Arabidopsis thaliana: one gene and its partners. The protein of the gene in region 1 purifies or fractionates together with the protein of each later gene. This does not show direct contact. Each region holds a gene or a part of one and is shown in the gene's direction. Other genes may lie near its edges.

What was found.
Region 2: the proteins of GLB1 (region 1) and AT3G15980 purify together in Arabidopsis thaliana (affinity purification with mass spectrometry, with the first as the bait; one study listed by BioGRID). This does not show direct contact.
Region 3: the proteins of GLB1 (region 1) and AT4G34450 purify together in Arabidopsis thaliana (affinity purification with mass spectrometry, with the first as the bait; one study listed by BioGRID). This does not show direct contact.
Region 4: the proteins of GLB1 (region 1) and AT2G21390 purify together in Arabidopsis thaliana (affinity purification with mass spectrometry, with the first as the bait; one study listed by BioGRID). This does not show direct contact.

What each region holds. Positions count from the first base shown.
Region 1 is NC_003075.7:819,910-824,082, forward strand, and holds GLB1 (nitrogen regulatory P-II-like protein), read left to right. Parts: upstream 1-1,636; 5' UTR 1,637-1,826; coding exon 1,827-2,025; intron 2,026-2,117; coding exon 2,118-2,163; intron 2,164-2,265; coding exon 2,266-2,293; intron 2,294-2,683; coding exon 2,684-2,771; intron 2,772-2,862; coding exon 2,863-2,930; intron 2,931-3,010; coding exon 3,011-3,080; intron 3,081-3,200; coding exon 3,201-3,236; intron 3,237-3,329; coding exon 3,330-3,385; 3' UTR 3,386-3,660; downstream 3,661-4,173. Other genes in the region: AT4G01895 (systemic acquired resistance (SAR) regulator protein NIMIN-1-like protein), read left to right, coding at 48-470; AT4G01897 (dihydroorotate dehydrogenase), read right to left, coding at 578-739, 1,186-1,260, 1,426-1,557. UniProt on the Arabidopsis thaliana protein: Participates in sensing carbon and organic nitrogen status and regulates some steps of primary carbon and nitrogen metabolism.
Region 2 is NC_003074.8:5,412,477-5,420,240, reverse strand, and holds the start of AT3G15980 (Coatomer, beta' subunit), read left to right. Parts: upstream 1-1,747; 5' UTR 1,748-1,927; coding exon 1,928-1,930; intron 1,931-2,302; coding exon 2,303-2,323; intron 2,324-2,408; coding exon 2,409-2,470; intron 2,471-2,633; coding exon 2,634-2,688; intron 2,689-2,871; coding exon 2,872-2,908; intron 2,909-3,020; coding exon 3,021-3,346; intron 3,347-3,447; coding exon 3,448-3,579; intron 3,580-3,669; coding exon 3,670-3,818; intron 3,819-3,999; coding exon 4,000-4,068; intron 4,069-4,303; coding exon 4,304-4,454; intron 4,455-4,542; coding exon 4,543-4,628; intron 4,629-4,924; coding exon 4,925-5,129; intron 5,130-5,263; coding exon 5,264-5,404; intron 5,405-5,544; coding exon 5,545-5,619; intron 5,620-5,716; coding exon 5,717-5,893; intron 5,894-5,971; coding exon 5,972-6,063; intron 6,064-6,151; coding exon 6,152-6,268; intron 6,269-6,488; coding exon 6,489-6,603; intron 6,604-6,702; coding exon 6,703-6,774; intron 6,775-7,014; and 6 more. UniProt on the Arabidopsis thaliana protein: The coatomer is a cytosolic protein complex that binds to dilysine motifs and reversibly associates with Golgi non-clathrin-coated vesicles, which further mediate biosynthetic protein transport from the ER, via the Golgi up to the trans Golgi network.
Region 3 is NC_003075.7:16,469,076-16,476,748, forward strand, and holds the start of AT4G34450 (coatomer gamma-2 subunit, putative / gamma-2 coat protein, putative / gamma-2 COP), read left to right. Parts: upstream 1-1,660; 5' UTR 1,661-2,880; coding exon 2,881-2,926; intron 2,927-3,150; coding exon 3,151-3,299; intron 3,300-3,401; coding exon 3,402-3,515; intron 3,516-3,605; coding exon 3,606-3,806; intron 3,807-3,885; coding exon 3,886-3,987; intron 3,988-4,421; coding exon 4,422-4,529; intron 4,530-4,609; coding exon 4,610-4,843; intron 4,844-4,982; coding exon 4,983-5,233; intron 5,234-5,365; coding exon 5,366-5,537; intron 5,538-5,610; coding exon 5,611-5,766; intron 5,767-5,837; coding exon 5,838-5,888; intron 5,889-6,070; coding exon 6,071-6,208; intron 6,209-6,287; coding exon 6,288-6,485; intron 6,486-6,566; coding exon 6,567-6,698; intron 6,699-6,782; coding exon 6,783-6,956; intron 6,957-7,152; coding exon 7,153-7,392; intron 7,393-7,525; coding exon 7,526-7,673. UniProt on the Arabidopsis thaliana protein: The coatomer is a cytosolic protein complex that binds to dilysine motifs and reversibly associates with Golgi non-clathrin-coated vesicles, which further mediate biosynthetic protein transport from the ER, via the Golgi up to the trans Golgi network.
Region 4 is NC_003071.7:9,150,087-9,157,422, forward strand, and holds AT2G21390 (Coatomer, alpha subunit), read left to right. Parts: upstream 1-1,853; 5' UTR 1,854-2,123; intron 2,124-2,313; 5' UTR 2,314-2,341; coding exon 2,342-2,549; intron 2,550-2,954; coding exon 2,955-3,449; intron 3,450-3,537; coding exon 3,538-6,491; 3' UTR 6,492-6,820; downstream 6,821-7,336. Other genes in the region: AT2G21385 (uncharacterized protein), read left to right, coding at 6-111, 216-314, 407-472, 561-677, 814-888, 987-1,089, 1,178-1,225, 1,302-1,423 and 1 more. UniProt on the Arabidopsis thaliana protein: The coatomer is a cytosolic protein complex that binds to dilysine motifs and reversibly associates with Golgi non-clathrin-coated vesicles, which further mediate biosynthetic protein transport from the ER, via the Golgi up to the trans Golgi network.

The sequences.
Region 1 (4,173 bases):
AAAAACAAAACTTTCTTCTTCTTCTTCTTCACCATCGAAAAGAGATAATGAACCAAGAAGAAGAAAAAACAGAGAACAAAAGGATCAACGAGATCGATGAAGACGAAGAAGAAGAGTTGGAGAACAAGAAGATGGACATGTTCTTCAATCTCATTAAAAACTACCAGGATGCTAAGAAACGAAGACGACAATACTTAACTCAAGATTCTGGCGACGTTGCTTCGATGCCGACCAAGAGATCCGACTACAGCATTGTTCCTGTATTCCGTGCTGAAGATTTTTCTCACTGTATGGACTTAAACCTAAAGCCATCGAATTCGATTATCTCCACCAAGAACCAAGAAGAAGAGAAGCAAGAAGAAGAAGAAGAAGAAGATGATGAAGAAGAAGAAGATGATGATGAAGGAGAAGAAGAAGTTGAGAAGGTGATGAGAAAAGATAATGGTTTAGATCTTAATCTTGCATTGTAATAATACACTTTGTTTTTTGGTTCTGTTTCGTGAATAAGAAGAAAAAAACTTTCTTAATTACATTATTAAAAGAGTGACATTGCAATTAAACTTAAAGCAGTGAATCATCAAGTCAAGAAGCTGCATGTGAAATTTCCATTGATGAATGTTAGCTTCTCAGCTTTGACGACAGAATCTAGAGGAAGAGGAACGAAGGTTTTGTCTGGACCATAGAAGTGAGGGAAGCTATTTACTTCATCCACAGCTTCATAGATTAATCCATCTCCAAGCTGCCAAATAAAGCACATCAAACAAAAACAAAAATGTCAATCTCTTCTTAGCACTAAAATGTATCCAAAACATCAACGTAGCATAACGATTCAAATGACAATTTTGTAAGAACTTTACATCAATGTCCATGACCATCCTAAGATCATGGTTCTGCTACTTAGATTGTGTTTATCCACAATTGCAGCTTGGTAAGAAAAATGTTTGAAACCCATTTTGTTTTCAAGTGTACAAAATAACACTAAACTTTAGCACAAACCACACATAACCAACTCTAGCTAACTCATACCCACTTTAGCTAACTGCTCCTCTACTTAAACATGGAGCTAATCACGCAATAAACTAACATTTACCAAATCAACCACTCACCAAACTAGAGGATCCCTAACACAAAAATGATCATAAATTTTCTATCCACATATGTTTCAAGTTAAAGGTAAAAGTCAACCTTCTTAGGATCGACTTGAAGAAGGTAAAGATACTCCTTCACATCCACGAAAAAGTTCTTCAATGTCAATTGTACCTAGAAATCAGAGAATCGATTTCATCACAAAAGCAGTAAAAATCTACATAAAAGTAATGATTTTTCACAAGTTCAAACCAAATTGCCTAAGAAAATGAGAAAATTTTCGAGAATCTTCATCACCCAAATGAAAAAGTTGAGATCTTTATGGGAAGAGAGAAAGACCTGATCAAGTTTGCTGAGATGATAATAACAAGTTGATTTATCAATCTCTGCACCATAAGAAGATCCATTCTTCTTAAACTCTTCCCATTCTTGTTCCGTACTGATTCTGTATATGAACTCTTCCTCAGCCATTTTTGTTTCACCTTAACCAGTGTGAGATCGAAAAATCGTAACTTTAAAGCAGACTTGATTCGATTCCATTCCATCAGAGCCACTTCACTAAACCGATCTAAACCGGAAATCAATTTCTGTACTAAACCGGTTTTATTAGCTAAACCGACTCGTCGTCAACTTCGAAGTTCCACTTCCAATAATTACCTCCTTCGTCGTCGCTTTCGATGGTCGAAATCAGTTGGTAAAGAGGAAACTCTGAAAGTTGTGTTAAAAAAAAAACTAGAATCATGGCGGCGTCAATGACGAAACCCATCTCAATAACTTCTCTCGGTTTCTATTCTGATCGAAAGAACATTGCTTTCTCTGATTGCATTTCGATTTGTTCTGGATTCAGACATTCCCGACCATCTTGCCTCGATTTGGTCACAAAGTCACCGAGTAATAACAGTCGTGTTTTACCTGTCGTTAGTGCCCAAATATCTTCTGGTAAGCCAACAGTAATGAGTCTCTGATCCTTTTTTCGATCAATTTGGTTTCTTTTGTGTGTTCATAGCATTTCTCTTTTCATATTTTGTTAGATTATATTCCAGACTCGAAATTTTACAAGGTGGAAGCAATTGTCAGGTAAGCTTCTAATTTTTGTTTTGATGTACCAATCAAAGCTCATAATTGTGACAATGTTGCTTGTTTCTTCTCTGTTCATGTATGAATGTTGGACTGATAAAGACCATGGAGAATCCAGCAAGTTTCATCGGTAAGATTTTCCTTGTTCTCAACTTTGATATGTGAAAAGATTTGAACTTTGCTAATCACTTGAGGTTTCCATTATTACTTGTTATCCATGAAGAGTCTATAGTGTTTTAAATGTGGATTTTGAATACTATAAAACAGAATTTTGAGAAATAAGTAAGAGTAGTAGTTCTTATCGATGCATGCGAAAATCAAATAATGTCAGTGAACTCGACAGGACTGGTCAAATCTTCGTTTCTCTAGTGTTTGAAATGTGAATTTGAATTGAAGGGTTTATGGTTCTCATAGTTATTGTAGATGGTACTTGTTACTTCCTTAGTATATAGAGATGATTATTACACTTTTGAAAAATCCAAAACTAAATCTTGAGTTTCTCTGTTTCATAAATAAATAGGCTTTACTGAAAATCGGGATTCGAGGTGTTACTGTTTCTGATGTGAGAGGGTTTGGTGCACAAGGAGGTTCTACCGAGAGACACGGTGGTACGTCCGTGAATTCAAGAATTGGTTTGATGATTCTTCTTATTGTCAAAATGTGTTCATGACTTTTCTATACACATTGTTGCATTTGCAGGCTCTGAGTTCTCGGAAGACAAATTTGTTGCTAAAGTTAAGATGGAAATCGTTGTTAAGAAAGACCAAGTACGTATATGGTTAAAAAAATCGATACTTCATAAGCGAAATTCGAGTTTGAGCCATTACTTTTTTTTTTCTTGTTGCAGGTGGAATCTGTAATCAACACAATAATTGAAGGAGCAAGGACAGGAGAGATTGGTGATGGCAAGATTTTTGGTAACACAAAAAGTTTTCTTGTTACTCTTTTCACAATCAGATTTATGTTTGATACCTCAAATTGTAAATGCAAAATGAAATTACTCAGATTGTGATTGTTTCTTGTTTGGTTATATACAGTTTTGCCTGTGTCAGATGTCATAAGAGTTAGGACAGGTAAAAACTTCAAAAGCCATATTCTTTTTAAAAGAAAGACACAGATCTTGGCTTGCCTTAAAACGTGTGTACATGTTGATAAAACATTTTCAGGTGAGCGTGGGGAGAAAGCAGAGAAGATGACTGGTGATATGCTTTCACCGTCTTAGGAACAAACAGAGCTCAAGAATGGTTTTTTTTTTTTTCATTTCGGTCTCTAGATTCTGCGAATAATAATGAATGGAGTCTGTGTTTGGTTTCATGTTGAATCGATCAAGATGTGTTTTTAACTGTACATGAATTATGCAGAAACATCTGTCCTGGTTCTCAGACATCGAAACTCTGTTCCTAATAAAAGCCGAAGTCCCTGTTTTTATTGTGGTACTAGATTTTAATCACAATTTTTTTTTAAAGTTAGTATATATAAAAATTTGCAAATTGTATCTATCTATTAAATATTTTTATTTTATAGTTTACAATTGTTATTAAGTAACGTCCTGCCAAACCCGTACCGCCAACCCGTCCCGTAAAAAAATTTATTTATTTTATTAATGTTGATTTTATTTATGATATGTTTATGAATCATTGTTTAAATATTTTGTAATTTTGTAGTAATTAATTGCTATCAAATATCTCTATGGTTTGCGGCTTATAATCGAATTGTTATAATCATGAAAAAAAGCAATATCAAAAATGATAATTTTGTAGTGTTTAAATCATATTAATTATTTTAGAAGTTTTACTTTAGTAACTAATCGTATAGTTAATGCGGAGAGATTTTGGGAAGGTAGTTAAATGCAAATATTTAATTCGAAGATTTACTTTCTAATTATCAAAAATAATTATTAAATATCAGTGGCAGCCACTGTAAATAAGTCCCAACTTGAAGATTTATTTCACAGAATGGCTGCAAAAATATATATGTAGATTCTCAAACAACAATGCTTTGAAGACGCCG
Region 2 (7,764 bases), on another chromosome or scaffold:
ATTTCTCATTAATATGAAGAGCCTGCATGAAAATTCGATAAAATGGGACAAAAGGCATCCAAACAACTAATCCCTTTGGGACTTGATGTGTGATGCCTCGAGTCCATCTATGTTACCAGTAGAAGTGAAATAAACTATGCAACAAGTAATGCAAGTATATATTCATTATGGTCTAATCATGATATATTCTTTTCGACACACGTACATATATTGTTGGTTAAATAAATATGAAGGTTTATCCTTCAACCAAGTGAATATGTTGTCTATAAAACTTGGTAGGAATCATGAAGGTTTATTCTTACATACATCATCCCTTTTCAAAATATGTTTAAAGCTTCTAATGCAATTTTGGCTCACTTTCTATCAATCTATATATGAAAGGTTAATCCTTCAACCAATACGTTGTATACTATTTTTGGTAGGAATCATGAAGGTTTATTCTCACTTACAACATGCCTTTTCATTTTTTTAAGTTTCTAATGACATTCTGTCTCACACTTTCTATCAACTTTCTTTAATTTGGTCTTAAACTCGATTACCTATGTTTATTTTAGGGTAATATGCCAATTAGAATTCTATTTGAATATAAAACCATGATTAAAAAGACATTTAGAAAGGAGTAGAAAAGGGCTAAGGAATGGATAAATTAATGATGGTATAAACACGAAAACGATTCAAGCGGCTGAAATGTCAATTATTTGTTTAACTTGCAATAATGATGCTTTAGTTACGATTTTTCGCAAAGCTAAGCAACCTAGTAAATGATATTTATGTATTTAAAATTTACAACCAAACAGAATTTGGAAAGCTATAAATACATCAAACAATTCCTTTTTTTGGTAAATTATATATATATATATATATATATAAGATGAATATTGCGTGTTATCCATTACCTAAACTTAAGCAACTATAACCAATTTAACAAAAAGGAAAAGAAAAAGCAAACTATATAAAAGATGAATGCTATATAACTATATAAGCTATGTTGGTGTTGTAACTCTGAATCCATTAAAAGATTTTCTCTTAAAATTGATAATGTTAAATTAACCAAGAAAATCAAGTTTTTCATACGTTAGCAATGTCACTGAAAGAAACATGACCCAAAAAAAGGAGTGAAGGTAAGTGTACACAAGTAGCATTTAAAGAGTCGGGCCATAAACTCTCGTTTTTTAGTCTGTGACATGGGCCATTCATTACCTAAGGTTTATGTTTGGGCTACTTCACAGCCTGAACCAAGTATCCTTCCATCACCATAAATCGTTGACATGAAATATAGGAATTCGTATATGAGGCATTTGTGTTTTCTTTCATATTTTAGAGGCAAAATACAAACTAATTTTTTTTTAGAGAAACGTTAAAAAGAAGTCGCCATATATTATTTTTCCTCGTTTAACATTTTTTTTTGAAAAAATTGAATAAATGCCACATGTCATCATTTTATTGCACAAGTGACTTGTGTTTAAAAGTGCAAGGAATTTTCAACATAATATATTTTTAGGTTGAATTGTCAAAAAATGCAACATGTCACGATTTAATTGCATATCTGACTTGTCCTCTACATAGTATAAAATGATATTGTTGATGAAACTTAAATCATAAATACTTCAGGCTAAAAATAATCCTCACACTAATTTCACTTTCATAGCAGAAAAAGAAAAAAGAAAGAATTATTTACTACTTTTTTTTTTTTCATTTTACGACGACGTTCATAAACAGAACCAGTGGCACTCTCGTAAATATCTTCATCAGTTCCTTGAAGCATAATTTGTGAAATTTTCTTTTAATAATTTTCATCTCCGCCGTATTAATACAAGCTCTCTGAACGCACTCTACGACGAGCCTAACGTCTTTCTCCGATCGCCGGTTAGCAGATTCAAGCGAGATACGAGATCCGACGAGCAGATCTTCTGCTTAATCTGTAAACATGGTAAGTAGTCGCATCTCGCATTCTTTATTTTTCTCCAGATCTCAATTGAATTTTGCTTGCGATGCGATCTTGGATATTGCATTTCATCTGTAGTAGTTTTGCGTAATTCAAGTGAGATCGTGGAATCCGAAATCATATGGTTTAACATCGCCGTCTTTGTGTTCGTGCGCCTATAGATTGTAGTTTTCGTGAAATCGAGTATAGTGTCTGGCATTTGGTTTTTGAGGTTGAATTTGGATTTTGATCATCGTGTTTTGAAAAGATCTGGTGTTTTCTGGGGGTTTTAAAGCTCTCTATGAGCAACATTTGTTTGCGTTCTGATATGTTTAAGTCTGGAACTAACTATTGTTCTTCTTCTTTATGTTGCAACAGCCTCTCAGACTAGATATCAAGGTATTGCTTATCTTTCAACTTTCTGCTTCTGTTATTTTATTATTATAGCTGTGGTCATAATTTGCTTTTGTTATGTTTTGATCAGAGAAAGTTTGCTCAACGATCAGAGAGAGTCAAATCTGTTGATCTGCATCCTACTGAACCATGGTAATTTCAAATTTGATTCTGCCATCTTGCAACTTAGTTATATGTTATATTTTGGATGTGTTGATGGAATAACAATTTTCACAGTTGCTGTGGGTAGTACTGTATGTTTGTACTTTTATTGCTGCTACAAATGACTGACTTAATAAACAACACGGTGTTACAGGATTCTAGCAAGTTTGTATTCTGGAACCGTGTGTATTTGGAACTACCAGACACAGGTGGGTGAATATTTGAATTTGTTTCTCTATTTTATTAATATATATTTATGCTTGCCATGACATGGGATAACCAAAACATCACACATTTTATGAGTTCAGAGGGCTGTAATTAGTCTTTTAGATATAGTTTTTATGATTTCATTTCATCTCGTCTAATATCATTTTAATATGACTTATACTCAGACGATTACAAAATCCTTCGAGGTGACGGAATTGCCAGGTATAACAAGTTTATGAGCATCTTCTGATTTCATTGTTATAGATTTTTCACTTGCTGTATATTGCCTTGTATAGTCTGTCGCTGTTACTGAAATTTATATATGACTTTGCAGTTAGGTCGGCCAAGTTTATTCCGCGCAAGCAATGGGTTGTGGCTGGAGCGGATGATATGTACATCCGTGTATACAATTACAATACAATGGACAAGGTCAAAGTATTTGAGGCTCATTCGGATTACATTAGGTGTGTAGCTGTCCATCCGACCCTTCCATATGTGCTGTCATCTTCTGATGATATGCTCATAAAGCTTTGGGACTGGGAAAACGGTTGGGCTTGTACTCAGATATTTGAGGGACATTCGCACTATGTGATGCAAGTGGTATTTAATCCAAAAGATACCAACACTTTTGCCAGTGCTTCGCTTGATCGTACCATAAAGGTGTGTAAGAGGTCCAAGCACTGAGCTTTTATGGCTTAGTTAGCACGAGGTACTTTTAAAAGGGTTTTCTTAGACTAATTTTCATGCTTGTTCATATTCAGATATGGAATCTTGGTTCCCCAGACCCAAATTTTACACTGGATGCTCATCAGAAAGGAGTCAACTGTGTAGATTATTTCACAGGGGGTGATAAACCCTATCTAATTACCGGCTCTGATGATCATACTGCTAAGGTATGCTTCTGGTTAAGCTTCCAATATCTGTGCTTTGATTCCCCTGAGAATTATGTATTTGCAGATCGTTTACTAGTGGTACTTTTTCAGGTATGGGACTATCAAACCAAAAGTTGTGTCCAGACGCTAGATGGGCACACACACAATGTTTCTGCCGTATGTTTCCATCCAGAGCTTCCAATAATAATCACAGGTTCTGAGGATGGCACTGTTCGCATTTGGCACGCCACTACCTACAGGTATTTTTACCTAACGTTTTCCTGTCAAAAGACATAACAATGCTTACATTTTTTGGGGTTTTTTAACACTTGAATACACTTTGTTCACATGCGGTTATTTCTTGTATTCATTTTCACCATAGGTTCGCTTTCTCTATTTTGTCGTTTGATTTGTTATCTTCGATTCTCTTTCTCTTTTCAGGCTAGAAAACACATTAAATTATGGTCTCGAGAGAGTTTGGGCCATTGGTTACATCAAAAGTTCTCGGCGGTGAGTTTTTGTACTTTTAATACTTAATGCTTATTAGAATTTTGATCAAAAAGTAGATGTTCTCTATTGGTAGAATTTTTGTTTCTGTCATTATTGTAGCTAGTTTTCCTCTGAAATTGACGATTTGGAGAGATAAGGGCGTTTAGAGTGGCTAGGAGTTTTTTAGGGATCAGTGTTAGCACCTTATTAAACTGATCATACGGGACCATCAACAACGAATGTGTTTGCTTTACAGGGTTGTGATTGGATATGATGAAGGAACCATCATGGTTAAACTTGGACGAGAAATTCCTGTCGCTAGCATGGACAGTAGCGGAAAAATCATATGGGCTAAGCATAATGAAATTCAAACCGCAAACATCAAAAGTATTGGTGCAGGTTACGAGGTCTAGCTCCTAATTGTAACTCTTGTATTCTGGCATGGGAAAACCTGCGTGACTCAGCTATTTATTTGTACTGCCTGATGATTTTAAGCTTTCATCTCTCTACCTTAGGCTACTGATGGAGAAAGACTTCCCTTGTCTGTTAAAGAGTTGGGGACCTGTGATCTTTATCCACAAGTGAGCGTTACTATCCAGCACCTTTGAAACTTTCCTGTTGTGTTGAATTATCATTGGATCTTTTGGGGTAAACACTTTCGGTGCATGTCCCACTTAAATGAGTGTGATGGACTTGTGCATTGAAGTTGTGGTGGGTATCACTAGAGCATGCTTCAGCTAAATCTGTGGTTTTTATGGTTACTTAAAACAATATTATATTTGAAATGAAGCGTTAATAGATGATAAAAATGAAACTCTGTTTCATATGAAGTCCCAAGAGTGTGGTCCAGAATAATTATGTCTTGCCTCACATATAGCTATTCTAACTCTCAGAGCTTGAAGCACAACCCTAATGGGAGGTTTGTCGTAGTCTGCGGTGATGGAGAGTACATAATCTACACTGCTTTGGCGTGGAGAAATAGATCTTTTGGGTCTGGCCTGGAATTTGTTTGGTCATCTGAGGGGGAATGTGCGGTTAGAGAAAGCTCATCAAAGATAAAGATATTCAGTAAAAATTTCCAGGTTTGCTATTCTCATTATGGCCTTACTCATACTATTTTGTTGGAGTATGATTCTAGGGTTGAAGAAATTGCAGATGCTTGCAATAGAGACAGCTATTACTGGCTTATTATATTAATAAAAGGTGGTGTTTTCAGGAAAGGAAGAGTATCCGGCCTACTTTCTCAGCTGAGAAGATTTTTGGAGGAACCTTGTTAGCAATGTGTTCGAATGATTTCATCTGCTTCTATGATTGGGCCGAATGCAGGCTGATTCAACAAATTGATGTCACCGTAAAGGTATCCAATTACCTTGTCTCTGTTGTGAGAAGTTAGCATTCATCACTTTTTTCCAATTCTGTCGTTACATTTTATTTTCAGTTGAAAGTTGTCCCAATTAGTGTCTTTACTAACTCTTTACTCCCATGAAAAATTTGCAGAATCTTTATTGGGCTGAAAGTGGTGATTTAGTAGCCATTGCTAGTGATACGTCATTCTACATCTTGAAGTACAATGTGAGAATCTGTTCAACCTCAAATGTTCAGCTATTATTTTCATTCCCACTTTCGTGGATTGTTCAAAAGCTTACTCTGGTGTTCCTCGCTATTACAGCGAGAGTTGGTTTCCTCGCATTTTGATAGTGGAAGACCAACTGATGAAGAGGGTGTTGAGGATGCTTTTGAGGTTCTCCACGAGAATGATGAACGTGTTAGGACCGGTATATGGGTTGGGGACTGCTTCATTTACAACAACTCTTCTTGGAAGCTTAACTATTGTGTTGGAGGCGAGGTACTCAAGAGTCTATTTTTATTTCTAATCATCTTTATGAGCTACATTATATAATAGCTGCTAATATACCTGTGGCAGGTAACCACAATGTATCATTTGGACCGCCCAATGTATTTGTTAGGCTATATTGCCAACCAAAGCCGGGTTTACTTGGTAGACAAAGAATTCAAGTACGTTCCTTTATATATGTTTATTTGAGACTGTTTTATCTTGCATACATAATTTGCTAACATATTTCCCTTTTTCTTGGGAATGCAGTGTCATAGGATATACCCTGCTGCTTAGCCTGATTGAATACAAGACTCTTGTGATGCGAGGCGATTTGGATAGAGCCAATCAAATTTTACCTACAATTCCTAAAGAGCAGCATAACAAGTATGTTATAGGTTATTTTGGTCTAAATTTTTTGCATTCACTTATAATTCATTCTTTACTACTGCATTTTATCTCTTGTTGCCTGCTATGTCCTATGAATGTACTTTTGAAGAATATTGTGGATATGTTCTGTTAGAGATATTGCCCCCCTACCAATAGGTTTTTCACTGTTTTGTGTGTATCTCTTTTAGTTTGATCTGAAAATGTTTTTAATATTCAGTGTTGCTCATTTCTTGGAATCTCGGGGAATGATTGAAGATGCTTTAGAAATTGCGACAGATCCAGACTACAAATTTGATCTGGCCATACAACTGGGTAGACTTGAAATTGCAAAGGTAATATCATATGTGATGCTTAATTGCTTAGACATTACTTTACTCTACTCTTTTTGGAAGTAGAATTTTTTTTCTTATCTTTGTTTTCCATGCTTGTAGGAAATTGCTGAAGAAGTACAGAGCGAGTCTAAATGGAAGCAGTTAGGAGAGTTAGCCATGTCCTCGGGGAAGGTACATCTTCTCTATAAAAATGTTGCCCAATGATTTGTAGTGGAAAATAGAAAAATAACTTTCTTTGCAAATGCTATATATCAGTCAGTTTACTACTTTACATTGTATCTATAGGAGCAAATTGGTATATTTAGATCTTACAATGCCAATGAGCTTTCTTCTAGCTTTTGCGGATTCATTGCTGATATCTACTACTTACTAAGTGATTCTCTTGCATTTGTGTGTGTTCTATCATGATAGCTGCAATTGGCCGAGGATTGCATGAAGTACGCTATGGATTTGAGTGGTTTGTTACTACTATATTCTTCTTTGGGAGATGCTGAAGGGGTGTCAAAACTTGCATGCCTTGCTAAGGAACAGGGGAAGAACAATGTTGCCTTTCTTTGCTTATTTACGCTGGGTAGATTGGAAGATTGTCTGCAGTTATTGGTGGAGAGGTATTTCATTACTGTTCACTTGGCCGTTTGGAAAAATCAAATATGTGTCTTTTGTTATCTTTATGACAAGAAATTATCTTGACAGTAACCGGATACCAGAAGCTGCTCTGATGGCACGTTCTTATCTTCCAAGCAAAGTTTCGGAGATAGTAGCTCTATGGAGGGAAGATCTCAGCAAGGTTATTTTCGCATCTTTTTTTTGTTTACTGTGTCAATGAGAAAATTCATCATGTGGCTTTAAATTGCCTTTGACTTGTCATCAGGTTAATCCAAAAGCAGCTGAATCTTTAGCTGATCCTGAAGAGTACTCAAATCTTTTTGAGGATTGGCAAGTTGCTCTTTCTGTTGAAGCGAACACTGCAGAGACAAGGTATCCGAGCACTTATTTTCTGCTATTCGCATTTTTCTTCCATGGTCGTTATGGCTTTCGAACTGTAGTTCAATAATTATATATGTACCTAGATATGATTGTACGGATGTGATGGATGCCTTAGGAAAAGAACTTCATACTTGAGCCACTCATTTTTCCCATGATTATGCATTGAGATGTTCA
Region 3 (7,673 bases), about 16 Mb from region 1:
AATAAGAAAAGGAAACAATCAAAATTTCCTTTTTTCATTGAACAAACGTGTACTTATAAATACACCCCTTCTCTCTTCTTCCTTGAGAAAAGTCTCCATTCTCTCTTCTTCTTCCTGGAAACCTAAACCACGTAAGGATTTGCTCTGAATCTAAATATTGACGTGGAGAAGACGCGATCTTACTAATTCTCCATTCTCTGCTTCAACTTCACCGTAAGATTGAACAAACCTTTACTTATATATACCTCTTCTTTCTTGAGAAATCCAAATTCTCCATTCTCTCTTCTTCTTCCAAACCAAAACCTAATTCTCCATTCTCTGCTTCAACTTCACCGTAAGATTGATCGGTTGATAAAGCGGCTCTTTTTGGTGATTGATCTCTGTTGTGACTACATCTTAGGTCAATTCAGATTGCTTTCATATCAAGTCTCTCCTAATTTCACAAGATCAAAGATCCCGGCCATGGATTCAGTTGTCGACGGCGAAGGAGAACACAAACGACGACTAAGGATGCGAAAGTGGGAAAGAGGGATATAACGAAGACATGGACAATGAAAGCAACGAGCAGTATAGAACCAAATCAATGGATCATGATCTGTGTTTGGTACTAGGTGTTTCCTTGGCGTCGACGAGATCTTTTGAAAATCTTGTGTTTCGTCGATATCACAAGCAAAGGTATTTTCTTTTTTCCTTTTCTATTTTTAATGATTCATTTTTTACTAAATAAAAATTTATTTTTAGATTTTTTTATTAAGTGTTAAAATTTTCAATTTTGTGTAAATTAATTTAAATTTTTAACACTTGTTTTTGTTTTTATTAAAAACTGTTTTTAAACCTATATTTTTATACTACTATTAAAGTTTTAAGGTTTTTCTTATTAAATATTAAATTTTTAAATTTTGTGTAAACTAATTGGATACATCATCCAATCCCCTAAGAGGTGTTCTAGGTTCAATAGATGGTTTACACATCATTTAAATTTTTAACACTTGTTTTTTATATTTATTAAATAAATGTTTTTAAACCTAAATTTTTATACTACTATTAAAATTTGAAGTTTTTTTTTATTAAGTGTTGAATTTTTAAATTTTGTGTAAACTAATTGGATACATCATCCAAACCCCTAAGAGGTGTTCTAGGTTCAATATGGTTTACACATTATTTAAATTTTTAACACTTGTTTTTCTTATATCAAAAATATGTTTTAAACCTTTATTTTTATACTACTATTAAAGTTTTAAGTTTTTTTATTAAGTGTTAAATATTTAAATTTGTGTAAGCTAATTGGATACATCATCCAAACCCCTAAATAGTGTTCTAGTTTCAATATGGTTTACACATTATTTAAAGTTTTAACACTTGTTTTCCTTATATTAAAAAATGTTTTAAACCTATATTTTTCTATTACTATTAAGATCTTAAGTTTTTTTTTTAATTTTGTGTAAACTAATTGGATAAATCTTAACTCCTAAGAGGTTAGGTTCAATATGGTTTACATATAATTTAATTTTTCTTATATTAAAAAATGTTTCTATTTTTATTTTACTATTAAGATTTTAAATTTTTTTTTGTTAAGTGTAAAAAATTAAAATTTTGTGTAAACTAATTGAATATAACATTCAAACCTGTAAGAGGTGTTTATAGGTTCAATATGATTTATATATAATTTAAATAGTTTGCTATTTTGTTTAGAATCAAAATATTTTTAAATGACATGTTGTAATAATTGACCAAAAGAAATTAGTGTGTGATTTTGTTGAAATGCAGAGTACAAAGCCTTAATTTATACCAAGTTATGGTATCTATAACGTATATGAATACCAAAATTTTATTATTTTTAATTGGTGTTGTATTTTATAATTCGAAATAATTAGGGGAACGGGCAAAACCTCTCTGTTCTCTCGCTTATATTTTTTTTAGAGAGAAAGCAAATCAGTTTCAACGATCGGATATTTTCTGGTGTTAGCCGTCCTGACTTTTTGGGCTTTCTGTCCGATATCACCGGCTCTGGTAGCGGTGTTGGTTGGCTCTAGTCCGGCAGCGTCTTGTTCACATAACCGGTGGTTGCTGGCTCTTGGTTTCTCTCGTCGATGTAGATCGATTTTTAATCTGTGTTTTTTTATTTTCATGTTTTGTTTTTAATAATTCTCATCTGAGACATGTTGGTGATAGAGTGAATGCAATCTCGCTTTCTAATGCTTCTTATCCGATCTGTTCTTTTTTAAGTTTTGATTTACAGAAATTTTTGGAGAAATTTGAGAATGATGTTGAAGAAAAGAAGTGGATTCTGTTGTTAATTATCATAGCCTTAAGCTGTTGTATATTTAACATGAGCCTCGATTGCTTTTTATCGGTGAAAAAACAAAAAGATCCATGTTCTATGAGACTATCGACGGTGATTCTTTCACCGAAATCGGTGCTCAGACGGCGAAAATGAAGTCGGTTCGCTTTAGAGTACTCATCTGACACGTATATTAATATATCGACATGTGGTTTGGGATAGAGTCAAACTATAGTTTCTTCTTCTATGAAAGACTCTCTGTTGGCCTATTTGGTCCTAAATCGTTTCTGTAATCGCGGACTTTTCTTTAAGCTTTGACTATCTTGATTAATACAATATTTCTCTTGGGACAAAAAAAAAATAATCTTAGTATTTCTTTAATATTTTTTGTTTGGGTATGGGCTATTGGGCCGCTTCGAAAAGTTCACTTTCTCTATCGATCTCTCACAGTTTCTGAGTTCTCTGACTCAAAAACATATAGTAGAAGAAAACGATTAGAGATCTTCTTCTTTCTCCTGTTGCATCTGAAGATAAAGGAAACAGAAAGCGCGAGATCTGAGTGACGGAGTAATTTCAAAGGGAGGTTTTCGAGATCAGAAATGGCGCAACCCCTCGTGAAGAAAGACGATGATCACGACGATGAGTGTATGTGTTCTCTCTTAATCTCCTTATAATTTTCGAATCAGCTGGTTTTCTGCAAAATGTAGATCCAGATGTTAAGCTTCTAGATCTGTTATCATTCAACAGTCGTGATTGTGATTTGGTTGTGTAGATCTACAATCTCAAGTCCGATTTAGTTTTGTTTACCGCATTCGATCCCGGTGTGAATTGCTTTGCTTATTTCGATTTCTGATTTTTTGTTGGATCAGTGGAGTATTCTCCATTCATGGGAATTGAGAAAGGAGCGGTTCTTCAAGAGGCTAGAGTCTTTAATGACCCTCAGGTTGATCCTAGACGATGCTCCCAGGTCATTACGAAGCTTCTTTATTTGCTTAACCAAGGGGAGTCATTCACCAAGGTCAGTTAATTTTTTTGCTTATACTGATTCGATGTCATGCTTATGGAGAATTGAATTATTGTGTTCTTATCCTCTCGCGATGGTTGTTTGTTTCATATGCAGGTTGAAGCAACGGAAGTTTTCTTTTCAGTTACAAAGCTTTTTCAATCAAAAGACACGGGTTTGAGGAGAATGGTCTACTTGATCATTAAGGAGTTATCTCCATCATCTGATGAGGTCTGTAAATTTTACTCAATTTCAATACGAACATCGTCGCACTTATTGTAGGTATATTTTCTGATAAGTTGTTGGTTTTTTCGCCCATAGGTTATCATCGTAACAAGCTCTCTGATGAAGGATATGAATAGTAAAATTGATATGTATCGAGCAAATGCTATCCGTGTCCTCTGCCGGATAATAGACGGAACCCTTCTCACTCAGATTGAGCGATACTTGAAACAAGCCATTGTGGATAAGAATCCCGTTGTTTCAAGTGCAGCTTTAGTCAGTGGGCTTCACTTGCTCAAGGTACCTTTTACACACCAAAACTATTAGGTAGCTTCTTAATTGTAATGTTATGCTTATATTCGTATATTGCTGTTTTCAGACAAACCCAGAAATTGTTAAAAGATGGAGCAATGAAGTTCAAGAAGGTATTCAATCCAGATCAGCCCTTGTTCAGTTCCATGCCCTAGCTTTGCTCCATCAGGTTAGTTTGTTGCATTATTATCACCGAAGTCGATTGGTCTATGTTTCTACTCTTTGTTTAATTAAACAGCCACTGAGAAGAAGTATCTCGGAAAATGAGAGGTGTTACTATGTGTATTGGACTAGATTCATAAATAATAAGTTTTCTGTAGCAGCATCGTAGCTCTTTACTACGGCCTTTTCCAGCAATTTTAGTTTCTTGTGAGGTTTAATCTGTGTCTGGAGTCTGTCTCAGATACTGCTGATTCTAGCATATGTAACTAATTAGGTTGGTTAGGACAACCTATTTATGTGTCTAAGATGTACGAGTTACCAAATGATATGTATTGCTGCTGTTACGTTGATTTAAAATGACTCCCAACATGATACACTCTCAATCTTTGATCTAATAACTGTCAATCTTTGATCAACTTGATAATCTTTCATCATATTCAGATACGCCAAAATGATCGCTTGGCTGTTAGCAAATTGGTTGGTAGCTTGACCAGGGGATCTGTCCGCTCTCCCTTGGCTCAGTGTCTTTTGATACGTTACACCAGCCAGGTTATTCCTCTCTTCTGTTTGATCATTTGATAAGTGGCTGATTGTATATGTGTTATTTAGCTCTGGTTTCTAATATTCAGGTTATCCGTGACATGGCCAACCACGGTCAATCTGGAGAACGTCCGTTCTATGAATTTTTGGAGAGTTGCCTGCGCCATAAGGCAGAAATGGTGATCCTTGAGGCTGCCAGGGCAATTACTGAGCTTGATGGTGTGACAAGCCGAGAACTGACTCCAGCAATCACTGTTCTTCAGCTCTTTTTGAGTTCCCCCAGACCAGTGTTGAGATTTGCCGCTGTCCGGACTCTGAACAAGGTTTGCAATGCTTTCAACTGTTCTCTTTGTACATTGACACCGAAATGATGTTTTACTATTCTGGGTAGATTCATCATTACCTTTATCATGAGGATGAGGAGATATTTCACTGTATACTAAACACAAGTTTGAACCACAGGTTGCAATGACTCATCCTATGGCTGTCACCAACTGCAACATTGATATGGAGAGTTTAATCTCTGATCAAAATAGAAGCATTGCTACACTCGCAATAACCACACTATTGAAAACAGGGAACGAATCAAGTGTAGAACGTTTGATGAAGCAGATAACTAATTTTATGTCAGATATTGCTGATGAGTTCAAAATTGTGGTCGTGGACGCAATAAGATCGTTGTGTGTGAAATTCCCACTGAAATACAGATCCTTGTAAGTAAAGTTTTAGGGTTTGTTATTTGTAGTTTTGGTCTCGAGCATTTCTATTTTTTTGAATGATTAAATATGTTATGGTATCTTTTTAGCATTTGGCTTATGATTGATCTATCACCTTTTCATTTGTAGGATGACCTTCTTAAGCAACATTCTTAGGGAAGAAGGTGGATTTGAGTATAAAAGAGCAATAGTAGATTCTATTGTGACCATTATCAGAGATATTCCGGATGCAAAGGAAAGTGGACTGCTTCATCTATGTGAATTCATTGAAGATTGTGAATTCACATATCTTTCAACACAGGTAATTATTCCATCATCCATCTGGGGTTGCTATTAAAAACTTATGTGTTATTGAAATGTTTATTCTCGCACAGATCCTTCATTTTCTGGGAATTGAGGGGCCTAACACCTCAGATCCAAGCAAGTATATACGATATATATATAATCGTGTGCATCTAGAAAACGCCACTGTCCGGGCTGCTGCTGTTTCCACACTTGCAAAGTTTGGGTTTATGGTTGAATCCTTGAAGGTATAGTCATCATAACAACCATTATTTTTATTTTCCGTTTATCTTCTTTGACTGATGATAATGCTCGACAGCCCCGGATTACTGTTCTATTGAAGCGTTGCATCTATGACAGTGATGATGAGGTGCGTTCCTAGTCTTAGTCTAGAAAAGCATTGCTGTTTCTGTATGTCTGTTTGTTTTGAGTCGTTGCATCATCAAACATGCATGCATGTGTTTGCCTCTGTAAACATTTTCGGATGCATGCAATGCAAGTTGTTTGATGATTCCTTCCTTGCTCATGAGTCAGACATCTTTTTATCTTAAGGTCCGTGATAGGGCAACACTATATTTGAGTGTTCTTGGTGGTGATGGTACTGTTGACACTGATAAAGAGAGCAAGGATTTCCTATTTGGTTCCCTGGAGGTTCCTCTAGTCAACATGGAAACTAGTCTGAAGAATTATGTGAGTTAATCTATTTCTCGGTTTTCTCCTTTTCAATATTCTTAGGACATCAGTTATCTTATATCTGGGATTCCTGCAGGAGCCCTCTGAAGAAGCTTTTGATATCAACTCCGTACCTAAGGAAGTTAAATCTCAGCCCCTTGCAGAGAAGAAAGCCCAGGGTAAAAAGCCCACTGGTCTTGGTGCACCACCAGCTGCACCTGCTTCTGGTTTTGATGGCTATGAAAGACTTCTCTCATCCATTCCAGAGTTTGCCGCCTTTGGAAAACTTTTCAAGGTTAGGGGCTGATTTGTCTTCTGTGTTATTCTAATGTTAATGGCTTATCTTGTTTGCTTTAACTTGTACTTTCTTTTTCAGTCTTCTTTACCTGTGGAGCTAACTGAAGCAGAAACAGAATACGCTGTCAATGTTGTTAAGCATATCTTTGACAGTCATGTGGTGTTTCAGTACAACTGCACTAACACAATACCAGAGCAGTTGTTGGAGAGGGTACTGAACATTGGTGTAGAATATTAGTGTCAAGCATATCTTATCTTTCTTTCCTCATTTAATTAATTTGGCATGGGGTTGTAGGTCAATGTCATTGTAGATGCTTCAGAAGCTGAGGAATTCAGTGAAGTAACTTCAAAGGCCCTAAACTCACTTCCTTACGATTCACCCGGTCAAGCCTTTGTGGTTTTTGAGAAGCCAGCTGGGGTCCCTGCTGTTGGAAAGTTCTCCAACACATTGACTTTCGTTGTTAAGGAGGTACATGTTAAATAGGCTATTCACTTCCATCTTTTTATTTACTTACACTGAAAATGACCCCATAATACTTTGTGGAGAACTCTTATAAACAACGACTCATTTGGAGAGGAGTACCAGAACGACTCAAATTAATCACAGAAAACAAAGAAAACTCTCTAACTACATTGTTTGTGCTTTTATGAATGTGTTAAAACAGGTTGACCCAAGCACAGGTGAAGCAGAAGATGATGGAGTAGAAGATGAGTACCAGCTAGAGGATCTTGAGGTTGTAGCTGGAGATTACATGGTGAAAGTGGGTGTCTCCAATTTCAGGAATGCGTGGGAAAGCATGGATGAAGAAGATGAGCGTGTAGACGAATATGGCCTTGGCCAAAGAGAGAGTTTGGGAGAAGCTGTAAAGGCTGTCATGGATCTTCTTGGCATGCAGACTTGTGAGGTTAGTCTCTTCCACTTTTTTCTCATACTCTACTGAGACTTGAGGGCTAAAATTATTGTTGATAAAGTCTTTTTTGAGTATATGACCATTTGTTGTGTTCCTGAAATTGAAACTGACACTGGATAAATAACAGGGGACGGAGACAATTCCGCTCAATGCAAGGTCACACACGTGTCTATTGTCAGGTGTGTACATAGGCAACGTGAAAGTGTTAGTGAGGGCACAGTTTGGAATGGACAGCTCAAAGGACATTGCAATGAAGCTGACAGTTAGAGCTGAAG
Region 4 (7,336 bases), on another chromosome or scaffold:
AACAGGAGAACTTTGATCTGTGCAGTCAAGGGAGATCCAGAAGATGCCTTTAAGAAGACTGTCGAAATCGATCGGATGATTGATGCTCTTAGAGATGCAAACCCTAGACAAGTAAGGAAACATGTCATATGCATCGTATAAATGTTGTGTTTTTGCTCTATTATCTTGAGTAAATTGAGTTTTGTTTTGTTGTTGTTGCCATTTTCATTGAACAGGTTGAGAAGATTGTTGTTGAAAATATCCTTGCTTTTGATGAGGTTTTTTGGATAAGACTAGCAGCTAGGTCGGATACTTGTAAATCAGAAGATGACAAGGCATGAGTTTATATTGTTTATGTCAATGATAGAGCAGACTTTTGATCTCTTTTGTTTCCGCTAATGCTTTGAATACGGTTTGTTTCTTACAGAAGGACTATGAGGAGTTAGCTACAACTGTGATGACTATAGTTGACTGTGTTGTGAATAAGACTCGGGTTTCTCTTTCTTCTGTGGTTTTATTGTCTCTTCTTCTTCAGCGTTTACTTAAACAGGGATAACTGAGAGTTCATTATATCCCTTTAGGAAAAGATAGAGACGTCTACTGATATTCTGAAAGGGATTTTAAGACCTGCTATAGATGGAGTGGAAGAGATTTCATGGCCGCCAAGAGATCCTGAAGCCATCAATCTAATGAAAAAGGTTTATACTAGTTGTTCTTCACTTTCTACTACATCTACACATTTTTTATATATACAACCTATATTCAGAAGGGTTATCTGGTCTTAGATTCTGTGATTTGATATCGTCATGGTTACTGAGATCAGTGTATTAACAGGAAATTATACAACGGGAAAAAGAAGGGCAATTAGATGAAGGATTTCTTTCAGAAGTTAATGCTCAGCTCCGGCAGGTAAGTGCTACAATTTGTTTTGTTTCACTTCTGAGGTCTTTCCTTTACAGTGAATAGATGTATTCTTTTGAATGTTTGAGGCTGACGATTGTTTTCAGGCAAAAGAAGATAAAGACAAACCAGGGTTATTGGCTATGCTGCAAAAAGTTCTTCAACTCTATTCTGCTACTATCCTCTCCAAGCGTAGCTACGCAAAGAAAGGTGATTTGCCCAATTTTGAAAACTATGCCAAGTCACTCTAAACCATTTTCTACGAACATAATCTCATCCACTATAGCTATTGTCACAGGGAACGAAGTTGTAAAAGCCGAGCATTTTCTTGAAACTCTGATCAAAGGTCTGTTCTGCAACCACTTTTCCATGTACTATAGACCCCAGCCAGACTTCACATCGGTTTATTATGTGTGTTTCAGCTCCTGAGGAACAATGGAACAAGCTTTTCGTAGACGGGTTAACAATCGGAAAAGGAGATATCACACCTGATGAGCTATCTGCTGTTATCAAGAAACGAATCGAGCGCACACTGATTCGAACTGTAAGTAACATACCATGACACATTTGCTTGCATTGTTATTATTCTCTTCAGGAGTGAATGCGAGGCTAACCGGGTTTTGGGTTGGGGTTTTAACCAGATATTGTTTTCTAAAATTCATCATTCTAACCACAACTATTCTGATCATACCAGGAAGGGGGTTCATACCAGCAGCGAATTTTGACCGAGTATCTCAAAGGAATCGAGTCCAGGGCTAATGAAATTATGAAATTACTCCAGGGTTAATGTCGTAAATCATGTATTTATCTATACATTTTTGTGTAATATCAGTTCAATAACCCCAATTAATATATTGTTTTCTCTCATGTAATAATTTTTTGATTGAGCATTTGAAGTGTTATCTGATTTAAAAATATGAAGCTCTGTAGTCAAAATTTTACAGATTTTAATTATCTTGGAATAAAAAATGTAAAGTTGATGCTTCCATATAAAATAAAAGTAAAAATGAGTAATTCATGCCAATTAAATTAGCGAGACGCAAATTGGAGACAGAGATAACTGAGCGGAGGGATTCAGATCTATACGACGAAACTGAATCTCACCGTCTTCTTCTTCTTCTTCTTCTTCTAGACGATCCTTGTGTTTCTCTTGCTCTCGCATCCACGCTTCTCTGGTAATGCTACTGATCGTCACCGTGAAGCTGAGCTTGATCGCTTCCCCTTGTGAACTGATCTGATCTGAGGTGAATCTCTATTTCTTCTCCTTCTTCATTGTACGAATCTCGATTTCTCGGATCTTGCTGCTTCTTATCGTTAGATCTGTTTTCAATTTCACGTGGATTACGTTTTTTTTCTTCCTTTTGCGGGTTTTTCGATTTCTTTGAACTGATCTTTCTCCATGATTTTCATTCTCTGTTGATCTGGTTTTTGTAGAGTTGTTTCTGTTTCGTAATCTGTGAATATGCTGACCAAGTTCGAGACCAAGAGTAACCGAGTTAAGGGTCTGAGTTTCCACCCTAAACGACCATGGATTCTCGCGAGTTTACACAGTGGTGTGATCCAGCTCTGGGATTATCGTATGGGTACTTTGATCGACAGATTTGATGAGCACGAAGGACCTGTTCGTGGTGTTCATTTCCACAACTCACAGCCTTTATTCGTCTCTGGAGGTATGCTTTGTTATTGGTAGGCCAATAAGTCTGTTTATTACACTTTCATGATCGATAAATCCTGATCTGCTTAAGTATTAACCCTTAGCTAGTTAGCTTCCTCGGTTCCTAGATCTAGCTTGGTCTCCCAACCTTTGTTTAATGGATGACTTAAGCTCTTATAGTCCCAGCTGGAGTAAATAATTTGTGTTTAAGTTACTTATATAACATATTGGATGATTTGGACCTAGTGCATTGAAACCAGATCTTATGGTACATGTTGCATAGTATTTTATTTGAACATAAGTAAGTACTCAAACAACTAGAAATGCAAATGGCTTGGATTCTTCTTCGTTACAGTTATAATGCTCTTACAGAACATTACTCATATGTAGTTGATGGCATTGATTACATTGGATGTTGCAGGGGATGATTACAAGATTAAAGTTTGGAACTACAAAACTCACAGGTGTCTTTTCACTCTTCTCGGGCATCTTGATTATATCCGCACTGTCCAATTTCACCACGAAAACCCATGGATTGTGAGTGCTAGTGACGATCAGACTATCCGCATTTGGAACTGGCAGTCTAGGACTTGTATTTCCGTGTTGACTGGTCACAATCATTATGTTATGTGTGCTTCTTTCCATCCAAAGGAAGATCTTGTTGTATCAGCATCACTGGATCAGACTGTCCGTGTTTGGGACATTGGTGCTCTTAAGAAGAAGTCAGCATCTCCTGCTGATGACCTCATGCGATTTAGTCAGATGAATTCTGATCTTTTTGGAGGGGTTGACGCTATAGTTAAGTACGTCCTTGAAGGTCATGATAGAGGAGTCAACTGGGCTTCTTTTCATCCCACACTTCCTCTCATTGTCTCTGGTGCCGATGACCGCCAAGTAAAGCTGTGGCGTATGAATGGTATTTCTTATGGATATCTGTCTTCTTCTTCACAGAAAGTTAATTTTATGAATCATTGAGGTACTGATGCGTTTCAATTTTGTTGCAGAAACTAAAGCTTGGGAGGTGGATACATTGCGAGGTCATATGAATAACGTTTCATCCGTTATGTTCCATGCAAAACAGGACATTATCGTGTCAAACTCTGAGGATAAAAGCATCCGTGTCTGGGATGCTACCAAGCGAACTGGAATCCAAACTTTTCGTCGTGAGCATGACCGATTCTGGATTCTTGCAGTTCACCCTGAGATTAATCTACTTGCAGCAGGACATGACAATGGTATGATTGTTTTCAAACTTGAGAGAGAACGTCCTGCATTTGCTTTGAGTGGTGATTCGTTATTCTATGCCAAAGATAGATTTCTGCGGTACTATGAATATTCAACTCAAAAAGATTCCCAAGTTATTCCTATACGGCGTCCTGGTACCCCAAGCTTGAATCAAAGTCCGAGGACTTTATCCTACAGTCCGACAGAAAATGCAGTCTTAATCTGCTCAGATCTGGATGGTGGTTCTTACGAGTTGTACATCATACCGAAAGATAGCGTTGGCAGGAGTGATGTTGTACAAGATGCAAAGAGGGGGACAGGGGGTTCTGCGGTGTTCATTGCTCGAAATCGGTTTGCTGTTCTGGAGAAAAGCACCAGCCAGGTGTTAGTGAAGAATCTAAAGAATGAGGTGGTTAAAAAGAGTTCTTTACCTATTCCCACAGATGCTATCTTTTATGCTGGGACTGGAAATTTGCTTTGTAGATCTGAGGATAAAGTGGTTATATTTGACCTTCAACAAAGGCTTGTTCTTGGTGAGCTTCAGACACCGTTTGTTAGGTACGTTGTTTGGTCTAACGATATGGAGAGTGTTGCTTTGCTCAGCAAACATACTATCATTATTGCGAGCAAAAAACTTGTCCTACAGTGCACGCTTCATGAGACAATACGTGTGAAAAGTGGAGCATGGGACGACAATGGTGTCTTCATTTACACTACTCTGAACCACATCAAGTACTGTCTGCCTAATGGAGATAGTGGAATCATCAGAACCCTGGATGTCCCAATCTACATCACCAAGGTGTCTGGAAATACAATCTTTTGCTTGGACCGGGATGGGAAAAACAGGGCTATCACCATTAATGCAACCGAATACATTTTCAAGCTTGCACTACTGAGAAAGAAATATGATCATGTCATGAGCATGATAAAGAACTCCCAGCTATGTGGACAGGCTATGATCGCTTATCTTCAGCAGAAAGGATTTCCTGAAGTTGCCCTACACTTTGTTGAAGACGAGAGGATCCGATTCAACTTGGCTCTTGAAAGTGGCAACATCAGTGTAGCTGTTGCATCCGCTACAGAGATTAATGAGAAAGACCACTGGTATAGACTCGGAGTGGAAGCTCTTCGTCAAGGAAATTCTAGAATTGTTGAGTTTGCGTACCAGCAGACAAAGAACTTTGAGAGGTTATCTTTTCTATATCTCATTACTGGCAATTTAGACAAGCTGTCAAAGTTGATGAAGATTGCAGAGGTGAAGAACAATGTAATGGGTCAGTTTCACAATGCACTCTACCTAGGAGATGTTAAAGAGCGTGTTAAGATACTAGAGAATGCTGGTCATTTGCCTCTAGCTTATATCACAGCTTCGGTTCATGGTTTAACTGACATTGCTGAGCGACTAGCAATTGAGCTAGGAGACAATGTGCCTTCATTGCCTGAAGGGAAGACTCCATCGCTTTTAATGCCACCGTCTCCCATCATGTGTGGTGGTGATTGGCCTCTACTGAGAGTGATGAAAGGAATATTTGAAGGAGGACTTGAGAGTGCAAACAGAGGGGCTGTTGATGAAGAAGAAGAAGATGTTGAAGGCGACTGGGGTGAGGGACTTGACAAATTCGATGTTGATGGAATGGAGAACACAGACATCGAAGCCATATTGGATGGTGCAGAAGCAGGTGAAGAAGAAGACGACGAGGAAGGTGGATGGGGACTTGACTTGGATCTTCCACCAGAGCTTGACACTCCTAAAGCCTCTGCTAACGCACGTTCATCTACTTTTGTGACACCTCCTCAAGGTATGCCCGTAAGTCAGATTTGGAGTCAGAAATCTTCCCTTGCTGCTGAGCAGGCTGCAGCAGGAAGCTTCGACACTGCAATGCGTTTGCTCCACAGGCAGCTTGGCATTAAGAACTTTGCGCCTTTGAAATCGATGTTTCTTGATCTGTTCAGTGGGAGCCATAGCTATCTGCGTGCCTTTTCTTCATCTCCTGTGGTTCCTCTTGCCATTGAGCGTGGATGGAGTGAGTCTTCCAGTCCTAACGTCCGTGGCCCGCCAGCTCTTGTTTTTGATTTCTCTCAGCTTGAAGCAAAGCTCAAATCCGGCTACAAAGCTACAACAGCTGGGAAACTATCTGAGGCTCTTCGTGTCTTCCTCTCTATTCTCCAAACCATCCCATTGGTGGTAGTTGAGTCAAGAAGAGAAGTAGATGAGGTTAAGGAACTGGTCATCATTGTTAAAGAATATGTCCTCGGTCTTCAATTGGAGCTCAAGAGGAGAGAGATGAAAGATGATCCGGTGAGGCAGCAAGAGCTCGCTGCTTACTTCACTCACTGTAAACTTCAAACACCTCACCTACGGCTCGCGTACTTCAGTGCAATGACCGTCTGCTACAAGTCAAAGAACATGGCTACTGCTGCTCACTTCGCCAGAAGTTTGTTGGATACAAACCCAACTATTGAGAGCCAGGCCAGGACGGCTAGACAAGTTATGCAAGCAGCTGAACGCAACATGACAGATGCAACAACACTCAACTACGACTTTAGAAACCCGTTTGTGATATGCGGGTCCACTTATGTGCCAATCTACAAAGGACAGAAAGACGTTGCATGTCCTTACTGCACTGCCCGGTTTGTACCAAGCCAGGAAGGTAACATTTGCTCGGTCTGTGATCTTGCAGTCATTGGCGCAGACGCATCTGGCTTGCTATGCTCTGCCTCTCAAGTCCGGTGAACAAGTCAGAATGATTATGTGCTTCAATCGTGAGGTAAGTACGAGATGCTCTTTTATGGAAGAAGAGTGTTGAGCTTTTGGTGTTTGTGAATTTTCCGCTGCAACTTCTATTACTCTTTAAAGTCTTTATGTTGTTTCTTATCTTAGTAACAAACGCATGAGAACTTTATCTTCTTGCTTTATCTCTTTTTGTTTGATTTTATTTTTACAGTCTCAGGACATTTCATTTAGGCTTATCGGATTTTAAACTCGATTGAGAAATATAGACGTAATATTTTATAAATTTTCAGAATTGTATCCATTTTCTTTTGGTGAATTTTCAGTTGATGCCTAATTTACTATTCCAAATACTTATAAAATTATCGAAAAAGTTAGAAATATCCAATAAATGTGGTTAGTTAGATGAACCGTTAAGACTGGTAGATAAGCTCACGGACAAACTCTCGAAATGACTCGATCACAGCTGCCTCTTTACTTCTTTTCTGTTTTTTAATTTGTCCGGTCGCTTGAATTTGAGTGTGAGAGAATTTTCCACACATTTGTCTTCCAAAACTATCAAGATCATGTAGCTGCTTCATGGATCCTCAAAGCAACTACATGAACGCTTCCTAGCGAAACATGACCGTTGATAGTCATGCCAGTCATGTCATGGAACCCCCTCCGGCACACGAATGATGGAGTTTTGTCCACTGTCAAACTGCATTCTAAAAAGCTTTCCAACTTCTGGATAAACAGAATCCTATGATGAACACCATCCATATCAATCGACGAATCTCAAGTTCTCGTCCAAAACATTAAACATTCGTGATCTGGTCCAAAACACTAAAGACTAAAAATTCACTTGA